2 linked regions of the Nothobranchius furzeri genome follow. The protein of the gene in region 2 binds, or shares a complex with, the protein of the main gene of each other region. Links are inferred from orthologs where the notes say so. Each region holds a gene or a part of one and is shown on either strand. Other genes may lie near its edges. The genes, in order: chchd6a and immt.

Region 1 (4,511 bases), on a different chromosome or scaffold from region 2:
AAACAAATTAATCTTTAGTAGAGAATGAAAGAACTAATAATTTTATATAATCAATTTCCCTCTGGGATTAATCAAGTATTTTTGAATTTGAATTGAATTGAGATTATATAAATATATATATATATACATATATAATACATATATATATAATAAATATAAATTATATATATATATATACATATATATATACATACATATACATACACATATATATATATATACATACATATGCATACACACATATATATATATATATATATAAACACATCCTCTTGCTTGGGTGCAAGAGGTCCTGGGCTCAGATCCTGGACAAGCCCCCATGTTGCAGCCCCACAAGCTGGGCCTTAACATTTGAATAAAAAGGCACAACTTGTGAATAATAATTGTAAAACTAAGTGTTTTAGCTCTGTTGGCTGACTGGAGATGCACATTAACGAACAAGAGGCGTTGGGGCTTAAAGGTGCAATACAGTTTTTCACCTCTAGATGGTTCGCTCTGACAAAAGCTCAGGATGTCTTTTTTTAATGAGTTGTTTTCATTTAATTTAATGATAATTTAATGTAGTAAATTCATTACAGTACATTTTAATTACAGTTTGGTTGCAAAAAAAAAAGGCTAAACTTGTTTCTACAGACAGACAAAATCTGGTTATGTTGCTAGTAAAGAATAAAAACTGTCTTGTTGTGTATTTTTAGTTAAAAAATTAAGAAGAAAAAACAAGAAGGAAAGTGATTTTTTTTCTTTTGTGGTTTTGTTAAATTATTATATTAACAAGAGACAACTGGACCTTGAATTATATAAAGTAAACGGTGTTATTTAGGAAAAAAAAAGAGCGAAAACCTTTATCATTCTGGGGGCTCGGAGTTGAAGATGCTGATCGATTTGGAGCAATGTTGGCTACTCCTCTCATCCTCTGAAGAACGTCTTCTGACAGCTGACAAAAGAACAAATACAAATTTGATACAGCCAAGTTGAAATAAATACAAGCAAAATATTAGATCCTAAAGTTTTATTTTCTGTTTAAAATTTGGATTACGTGTTGTGATTTTTAATTTAAAAAATACTCTTATTTTTGTCTGGAACGGATCCAGCAAAACTTATTTATGAGCACACAGACTCACTGCAGCCGTGTAGTTTTGCCATTTGTAGAACCGTGTGTGTTTCGGGCATCCAAGGAAACTGTTAAGCTTTGTCTAAAACCACAGAAGGTCGTGCCATGTGTCGATGACTCACAGCATCTGAATGTGAAACTCAGTCTGGCAAGAATATTTATTTATGCGATTTTAACTTTATTGTCTTCTAATGAGACATTTTCAGACATTTTGATAATAGCAGGCAAAAAAAAATCCCTAATTATATTATTCGTTTTCCATTGCCCAGTGACCAGATGAATGAATGGTTAATGGTAAATGGTAAATGGCCTGTATTTGATATAGCGCCTTCTAGGGTCCTGGAACCCCCCAAGGCGCTTTACAACACAATCAGTCATTCACCCATTCACACACACATTCACACCCTGAAGGTGATGAGCTACGATGTAGCCACAGCTGCCCTGGGGCACAATGCACAGGCGCCACCGGTCACTCCGACCACCACCAGCAGGCAAGGCAGGTTAAGTCTCTTGCCCAAGGACACAACGACAGCGACAGACTGAGCGGGACTCGAACCTGCAACTTTCCGATTACGGGGCGAACACTTAACTCCTGTGCCACCGTCGTTATTACATTGCTGTTAATGGAACACAGAAATATAAAGAACATTAAAAATCATAGCCTAATTCTGCATCTACATAACTACATTCAACCAGTATGTGTCTTTTTCCACAATCAAGGTGTCATTTTGCAATTCAAATATATATTGTTGGCTTCATATTATTTTTGACACTTCCATAATTTACATTGTCACTTCAAAAGTTGAATAAAACCCAAGAATTCGATTTCTGAACGTGTTCATGAACGCACCCAACTGCCATTGAGACAGCCCTTCGCCAAAGTCCATTCAAATGTTGTTTATTTAAAGTCTCAATGCTGCAAAGCTAACATGATCTGCTGACATTAAAACATATCTATTACGATTTAGTGGTAGCTCGATATTGCAAGTAAAATAATAAATATATAAACAAAATTGAAAAATACCGAGAAGTTTGTTTTGATTTAATCTTTCCTCAGCTAAAGTTGCTACCAGTTTTAGTAACTAGTTACATCTACAGCCACTACGTTAAATTTATCTGAGCCGGATTCACCGGAATGCCTTTAAATATGTCATAGTTTATTTGTTCAACAGCTATATTTACTGTGTTACTCATTATCAGAGGGTACTGCTACAAAATAGCACATGTTGGCAGAAGTTTGGCGTAGCAAAAAAAGGACACCTCAACCTGCCTCGGTTCCTGCATTCTCCTCCAACCTTCATGCTTTAACAGGTGATGTTAGGATGACAGGCTTACTTACGCTCAAAAGTCGTGAAGCAACATGTTAAACGCTGCTTCGTTGTCAGCGTAGCACTAAAGTAATATGTTAGCATGGCTTGTCAAACGCTAGCTAAATTAGCCTTACCTTTATGCCACGAAGAATCCTGACTCTGTCCTCATCATCCACCCCGAAAGATACTTTTCTAGTCGTACTTTCTCCGGACCCCATCTTTATTGTGATAAGCTATATTTTTAAACAGCAAATGGATCTAGTGCACTACTGTTTATGTCGTCCTCAATGACAATGTGTGACAGATGGGAAACGGGTTGCCAGATTTGCTATAAAGAACCCTTTTTGTTGTTTGATATTTAAATGCCAAATATTTAGGTGAATAATATAATCTGTTCCCTGGATAGAAATGTTTAAAATATTTTTGTTATAACTATCATAAATTGTATTCGTAAGTAAATTTTAAAACGTTTCAATCATTTTACCTTTACGGGGTTTTCCTCCGTTCTGGCAACTCTAATTCCAGACGCTGCAAGACTGTGGAATGAATTTAAGTTAAAAAAAAAAGAATAACGAAACTAACATACAACTTTCTAGTACACCTATGTGATGAGCAGATTCACAAAATTGACTGCAAATATATTTATTTGTGCATAAATAATTTATTTTCGCAAAGCAGTTGGCCAGCTCAAGCTAAATGTCAGAGTTCATGTGAGCCACTGTTTGCCATTCACCAACTATATTCAGTAGATTACACACACACACACACACACACACACACACACACACACACACACACACACACACACACACACACACACACACACACACACACACACACACACACACACTTTCAAAAATCTATTTTGTGTTCAATGATCACACAAATTGGAAACATTATCCATATTAGAATATTTTATTTATATAAACATACCAAAAACAAACCAATCAACAAAAATAAAGGAAAAAAACCTCATGATCTTGCTTTTCCAGTAAATAAACAATTATGTTTGTATTGATCATTTGAACAGTAGCATCTGTCTTTTCCAGTTTTTGAGAATGTTTTGGCCCAAATGGTGAAACCCTGATACTGTATTTAGGACATAAATAACAAAATACAGATATGCAAATAAACTAGCATTTAAAGTGTTTCAGTGCTGAAACACCAAAGTAAAACCCTACATAATAGCATTTAAACAGATTTTATGCAGATTCAATGTAAGAATTATATTCCACTATTCAGCGTGATCCAGGACTCTGGTGTGTTCGAGTGAATGCTGAATGCTGGGTAAACGGGCTCCTTGAACACATGTCTAAAGGTGTGGAGGTGTTCCCTACAACCGTTGGTGCTGTGGAACTTTAAGGCCCCACCTTCATAGTCAAGAGCAATCTCAATCTTTGTAGGAGGACTGAGTGTTTCTGCCAAGGCTATATTGCTGGAGGCTGTGCACGCAGTCAGCTTCCCGTTTTTCCTCTGAAGTCTCCAGGACACTGTGTTGTGTCCCAGGCGACTATGGTCACCGCGCCGAAGGATGCTCTTGTAGCACACACCGAGGGACCACATGCAGCTGGACCCCACTTCTACCACCCACACGTGTATGCCACCTGAGAAACTCTGGGTGCACATGATCTGAGGAGCGCTAGCAAAACGCTCTGGGTGGTCCACGTATGACTGCTTGGTTGAGCTGTACTTGACCGTGCGCATGTCAGAGGAAATCAACAAGCTGGGATGTGCAGAGTAGACATTGAAGGTGAGCTCCTGGGGGTTCAGGAGGATGTGAAGACTTTCCAGGAGGCGAACCATTTCAGAGCGGAAGTCGTTGGTTTTGAGCTTTGACTGGAGATGCTTGGTGTTGAGTAGAACGTCAGGGGGGATTTCAGAGGAAATGCTAACTGTGGTGGCATCTCTAAGCTTCTGTTCGATCTTCGTGAATCTGGAAAGAGAGGAAGTGTCTTAATATAGTAGCTTTGTCTGAGATGTAAACATGTTCAATGGGAAAGCAGGAGATGTATTTTGTAAAGAAAGAAAACAATCTTTTATGTAACGCTCTTCAAGATAAATATCATGAGGCACTTCACTATATATATATA
Region 2 (4,497 bases):
ACGCAAGGAGAACGCGCGTTCTCAATCTTTGCGCCTCGTCTCTGGAATCAACTCCCTCTAGCAGTGAGAATGGCCCCCTCTCTCTCCGATTTAAAATCACGCCTGAAGACTCATTTTTATTCCGTGGCTTTTACTTCAGCCGAGTTAGCATTGTACCATGTCTCTGTTTTATTTTTATTGATTTTATAGTAGTCACTGTACTACTTTTATTACTTTCTTCCCGTGTGTGGATTTTTATGCTCTTTTACTGTGCAGCACTGTGGTTGGCCTCGGCCGTGTGGGAATCTGCTTCATAAATAAAATGGAAGTTCCAAATAAACACGATGGTCGTGAAACTAAGAACATCTAAACTCTACCAGCGGAAGAAAAGTCCCCGCCATCCTGTTTATTGTTAGCTTTCTGCAGCACCAGGGAGCAGAACCTCTGGTTGCTGCTTTGAGTCTGCTCCGCTGCGGGGTTATGGCAAGCCACCGTAGCATGTAATTCACAAACGCATCTATCCGTGAACGCAATTTAAACTGGATTAGTGCCAACCCGTACATGTGTCACCATTACATGTTAGCAGTAGAAAGTAAATGTTATTAGCGTTTCCAGTAGCTAGCTACTGAAAATGCTAATTAAATTTTAACTAAGGATACATTTAGGTGACAGCGTGTTGTTTTGAACGCCACTGAGCTGTTATCTAATCAAGTTCCATTGTTAAATGTTCCCGTTTAATCTGATTAATCGAATCGATGACCCAAATAATCGTTTGTTGCAACCCTACACCGCGCTCTTTTGCCCCGCCCACATGCTCAGAGATAACCTCCTGACATCACAGGTCACTGACCGCCCATGTGCCCCCCCCCCGCTGTCTCACACATGTTCTGCACTACTCTTCTCTACCATTTCTGTCCTCGTCTCCGGCTCATCCACCGTCTGACCCTGGAACCAACCCTGCTGTCTGTTCCCGTCACCAACGAGTCCTTTAGGGTCTGCACCGCTCTCTAAACTCTTTCATCATCTAAATCATCTAGCTCATATCCTACCTGTGGATCAGAATCACTAACAATGAGGATTATTATTCCAACAAGCATCAGGCTCCTCAGACTACCTGACACTCGTCACTTCCAGAATGATCCCAACACCAGCTATTCTGACCACTTGTGAACAAGCAGCATCTTTTAGGCAGCGTAGTTTTAAATCTACAAGGTAATTCATGAAGTCCAACCAGCCTGTTGTCGTGTTTTAACGTCGCCATAATCAAATCTCGTATGCGTTTATTCACTCCGCTTGGCCCAAACGCAACACCAAATGAAGCTCATTGCGCTCCACAGCTGGCTCTCCTTCAGCGGCTAATCTGTGGTAGCTTCTGCAGGAGCGGCTGAGAAACGGTGAGAACCTCCTACCCTGTATGCTCTGAGCTGGCGGTGGTGGGACCAGACTGGACTCTGGGCCACTTGCCTCTGCTGCCTCCTTCACACTCTTCTGGGACTTGGCTTTGGGATCCGTTTTTGGTTTATCCAACATGGAGGGTGGCTGGTTCAACTCCACCTGAACAGAAACCATTAGAGATAATAAAAAAAATAATGTTATTGTTCCTAACTACTGAGCCACAACACGTCGAAACAACTTAGCAGCGTAGTCTAATCCAGCTCCTACAAGATCATCCCTGAGCCCCAAGTCCATCGACACGCTCAAATGGTTTACTTAAATCCAAACTTCCTCTGCTGGGAGACGAAAGTGAATTTTGTCACGGTACAGCTGCCACGTCATGTGACCATGAGATGATCTTCCATTTTCATCACAATCCCTAGTTTGTGGCAGCAGCTCAGGGAACACCTAAACCGCGCCTTCTGGTGGCGGCACGCCAGACAGCGAAGACAAAATCAGCACAAATGATGAGAGCCGTCGCTCTAAACAACAAGCCCCGCCCCCTTCTTTAGCTCAGGTGGACTTCACAGGAAAACCTTAACAGGTGACAGGAACTGGACTTTGCGTGTGAACAGGTGTTCACCTCCGCTCCTCACCTGTTTCCTCACAGGGAGACGGGCATCCTCAGGAGCTGGTCCCAGAGCCAGGCCCAGCAGCCAATCAGAGTACGGGACATTCTTCTCCACAGCTGCTCTGAACTTGGGGTCCCATTTGGAGTAGAGCAGTGTCCCTCCCACGCCTCCGCCTACCGTCACCAAGCCGAGAGCAACCACTCTGGAGGCGCCGCTGTGATGGGGAGGGGCAGACGGTTAGGTTTTTACCTGTGAGGTGTGTCCTTACCTCACCTGAGGGGTCAGTTACCTGCTCCTGCTGGTGGAGTAGCACCTGTAGGACTGCAGCGGAGTCAGAGGACTTCTCACACAGTTCTTCTGAAACACACAATGTCCCAGGTACAGTGAAGGCAGCATCTACGGTTGTGACGTCACCTCCAACTAAACTCACCTGTAAACATCAAATCTCTGAACACACAGGTCACCTGAGAGGTGCTCGTTAGGGTTCGGACCCTAATCCTTACCGGTACCGGAGGGAATGTAAACAAAGCCTAACCGCGGGCTAACCAGAGACGCCAAACTGGACCGGATGTCCTGGCACAAAACTGGTTCTGTTCAACCCTGAGAACCGTGGAACCTTGAGCTGGGTCACCGGATGACCCCACCATGCTAGCTGCTAACAGGACGGGTTCGGCTCTTACCCGGACCGTGGCGTGGGCTCCTCGCAGGCACACTCCAAGCATGGTCCTCGCTTCAACGGTCCGAGTCCAAAGCGGGTTCGGCGGTGGCACCACGACAACTTTCCTTCACACAGTCGCTCAGCGGACACAAACCAGAACCGGACCGGAACCTCCTCCCGCTGCCAGGCTTCACTTCCGGGTGGAAAAGCAACCCGTCTTCAGCGCCACCTGCTGGTGGGGAGTATGGCTCCATCCACGCGGACGTTCTCTCCTCTTTACCTGTCGGTCCTCGGGTGGTCTTCCTCCTGGCAGTAGATGGTGAAGGTCCACACTGTGGTCCGGCCCGCATCGCACCCGATTAGAGTAAAAACAGGTCCAACTGCCACCGGTCCCGTCCATCAGCTTCTAGTCATCACTTGCTGACTTCTCATTCTCACTCGACTCCCGCCATCAGGCACGGCTCGGCTGTGGAGGTCTCCGTAGGAGCAGAACCTTCTCTAGCTCTCCGTTCAACTATTCCCAGGAGGGGAATGCCGGGTCACAATTTCTGATCCAGTTTTCACACGTTCCCCTCCACTCCTTGATCGATTCCGTGGTCTTCAGAGAGCAAATGAAGTTTCATTGATGTTCTCCACCTGGTCCATCGTGAGCTCCTTCACCAAACACACTGGTTCCAGCATGTTTCCTAGTGCCGACACGTACACAAGAACAAACTCGTCCCGTACTCACTTCCACCTGAATGCCTCCCAAGTACTTTATTCCATAAAAACTCGGACCTTCTCAAGGATTTCAGGCACCAGTCAGAACCAGTAACGAGGTTGTTCTTTTTATTTTCATGTCTTCATCAAAAGCAAACAAACAAACAGTTGTAATAAGGACATATTAAAATTACACGTAGTTCATAACAGCAAACGTAAAACTGTCCGGCTCAACAGTCAAATCAGAGCTCTACAAAATATTCTACAAGCCGTCCGCCGTCGCTCCTCCTTAAATAACTCCTGGACTCAGGTCGATGCGACGTCTCCCCACCGGGACACAAACAGACGAGGACAACAGGGGCTCATCCCAGCAGTCTCCTGACGGGTCAAAGCTGGAATTATAAACCTGGTGGTGGAGTGATCTCCCTGAGCAGATGTCCAAGTTAAAAGTGTCCTTTTTACGGACTAAAAACAAATATTTGAACCCAAACGACTCCAGAACACACTTCCTAGATGCAGGTGGAGTTCAGCAGGAACCCCAACCATGAGCTACACCATGTCAGGCCCCCCTGGGCTCTCTGTCCTCTGGACTTTAACTGGGGTCCCCAGGTAGTCTTGATCCTGAACAACACAGAACAAGCAGATTCAGAACCGAGCCCAAAAAGTGTTAGGTTTAACCTGTCGGTTCGTAACTACGCTAACTCACCGTTACAGAGGAGGCGTGCACCCAGTGGGCGGTGGGGGGGTGCTCAGAGTGCGACAGGGTAGGGAAGTCCAACTCGATATCCATGACGTCACCAAAATCCAGCTCCTCACAGGGGTCCAGCTCCTGACTGGAGGAAAAACAAAATGACCTGCTGGGTTCGGCACAAGGAGGCTCCTCCGAGCCTGACGTTCTCCTACCTGCTGTTGCTGTTAGGAGTTGTCTTCTGGGAGCTCAATGACGGAGGATCCCAGGCATGCAGTTTGACCTTCCAAAGCTTGACCTGCTGGTCCCAGGAGCGCCGGCTGTACTTCCGGAACTTATTGGGGGTTTTCGGGTGGATGCCTGGCTGCCGCAGGTGCCTGAAAGCAGACACGGTCCAGGTTTTACGGACAACTCTCTACGGTGAGGGCGCTCCGATCAGAGAGATTTTTAAGAGGTCGGCCATAACC

The links.
Region 1: immt (region 2) and chchd6a share a complex: the UniProt entries of both Homo sapiens proteins name them as parts of the mitochondrial contact site and cristae organizing system (MICOS) complex. The link is inferred for Nothobranchius furzeri from reciprocal best matches to the Homo sapiens genes IMMT and CHCHD6.

The regions. Positions count from the first base shown.
Region 1 is NC_091755.1:51,009,243-51,013,753, forward strand, and holds the start of chchd6a (MICOS complex subunit mic25a), read right to left. Parts: upstream 2,818-4,511; 5' UTR 2,640-2,817; coding exon 2,556-2,639; intron 935-2,555; coding exon 841-934; intron 1-840. Other genes in the region: E3 ubiquitin/ISG15 ligase TRIM25, read right to left, coding at 3,646-4,354. UniProt on the Homo sapiens protein: Component of the MICOS complex, a large protein complex of the mitochondrial inner membrane that plays crucial roles in the maintenance of crista junctions, inner membrane architecture, and formation of contact sites to the outer membrane.
Region 2 is NC_091741.1:108,908,960-108,913,456, reverse strand, and holds the start of immt (MICOS complex subunit MIC60), read right to left. Parts: upstream 2,842-4,497; 5' UTR 2,708-2,841; coding exon 2,666-2,707; intron 2,343-2,665; coding exon 2,275-2,342; intron 2,200-2,274; coding exon 2,010-2,199; intron 1,534-2,009; coding exon 1,389-1,533; intron 1-1,388. Other genes in the region: slbp (histone RNA hairpin-binding protein), read right to left, coding at 3,892-3,963, 4,049-4,175, 4,246-4,407. UniProt on the Homo sapiens protein: Component of the MICOS complex, a large protein complex of the mitochondrial inner membrane that plays crucial roles in the maintenance of crista junctions, inner membrane architecture, and formation of contact sites to the outer membrane.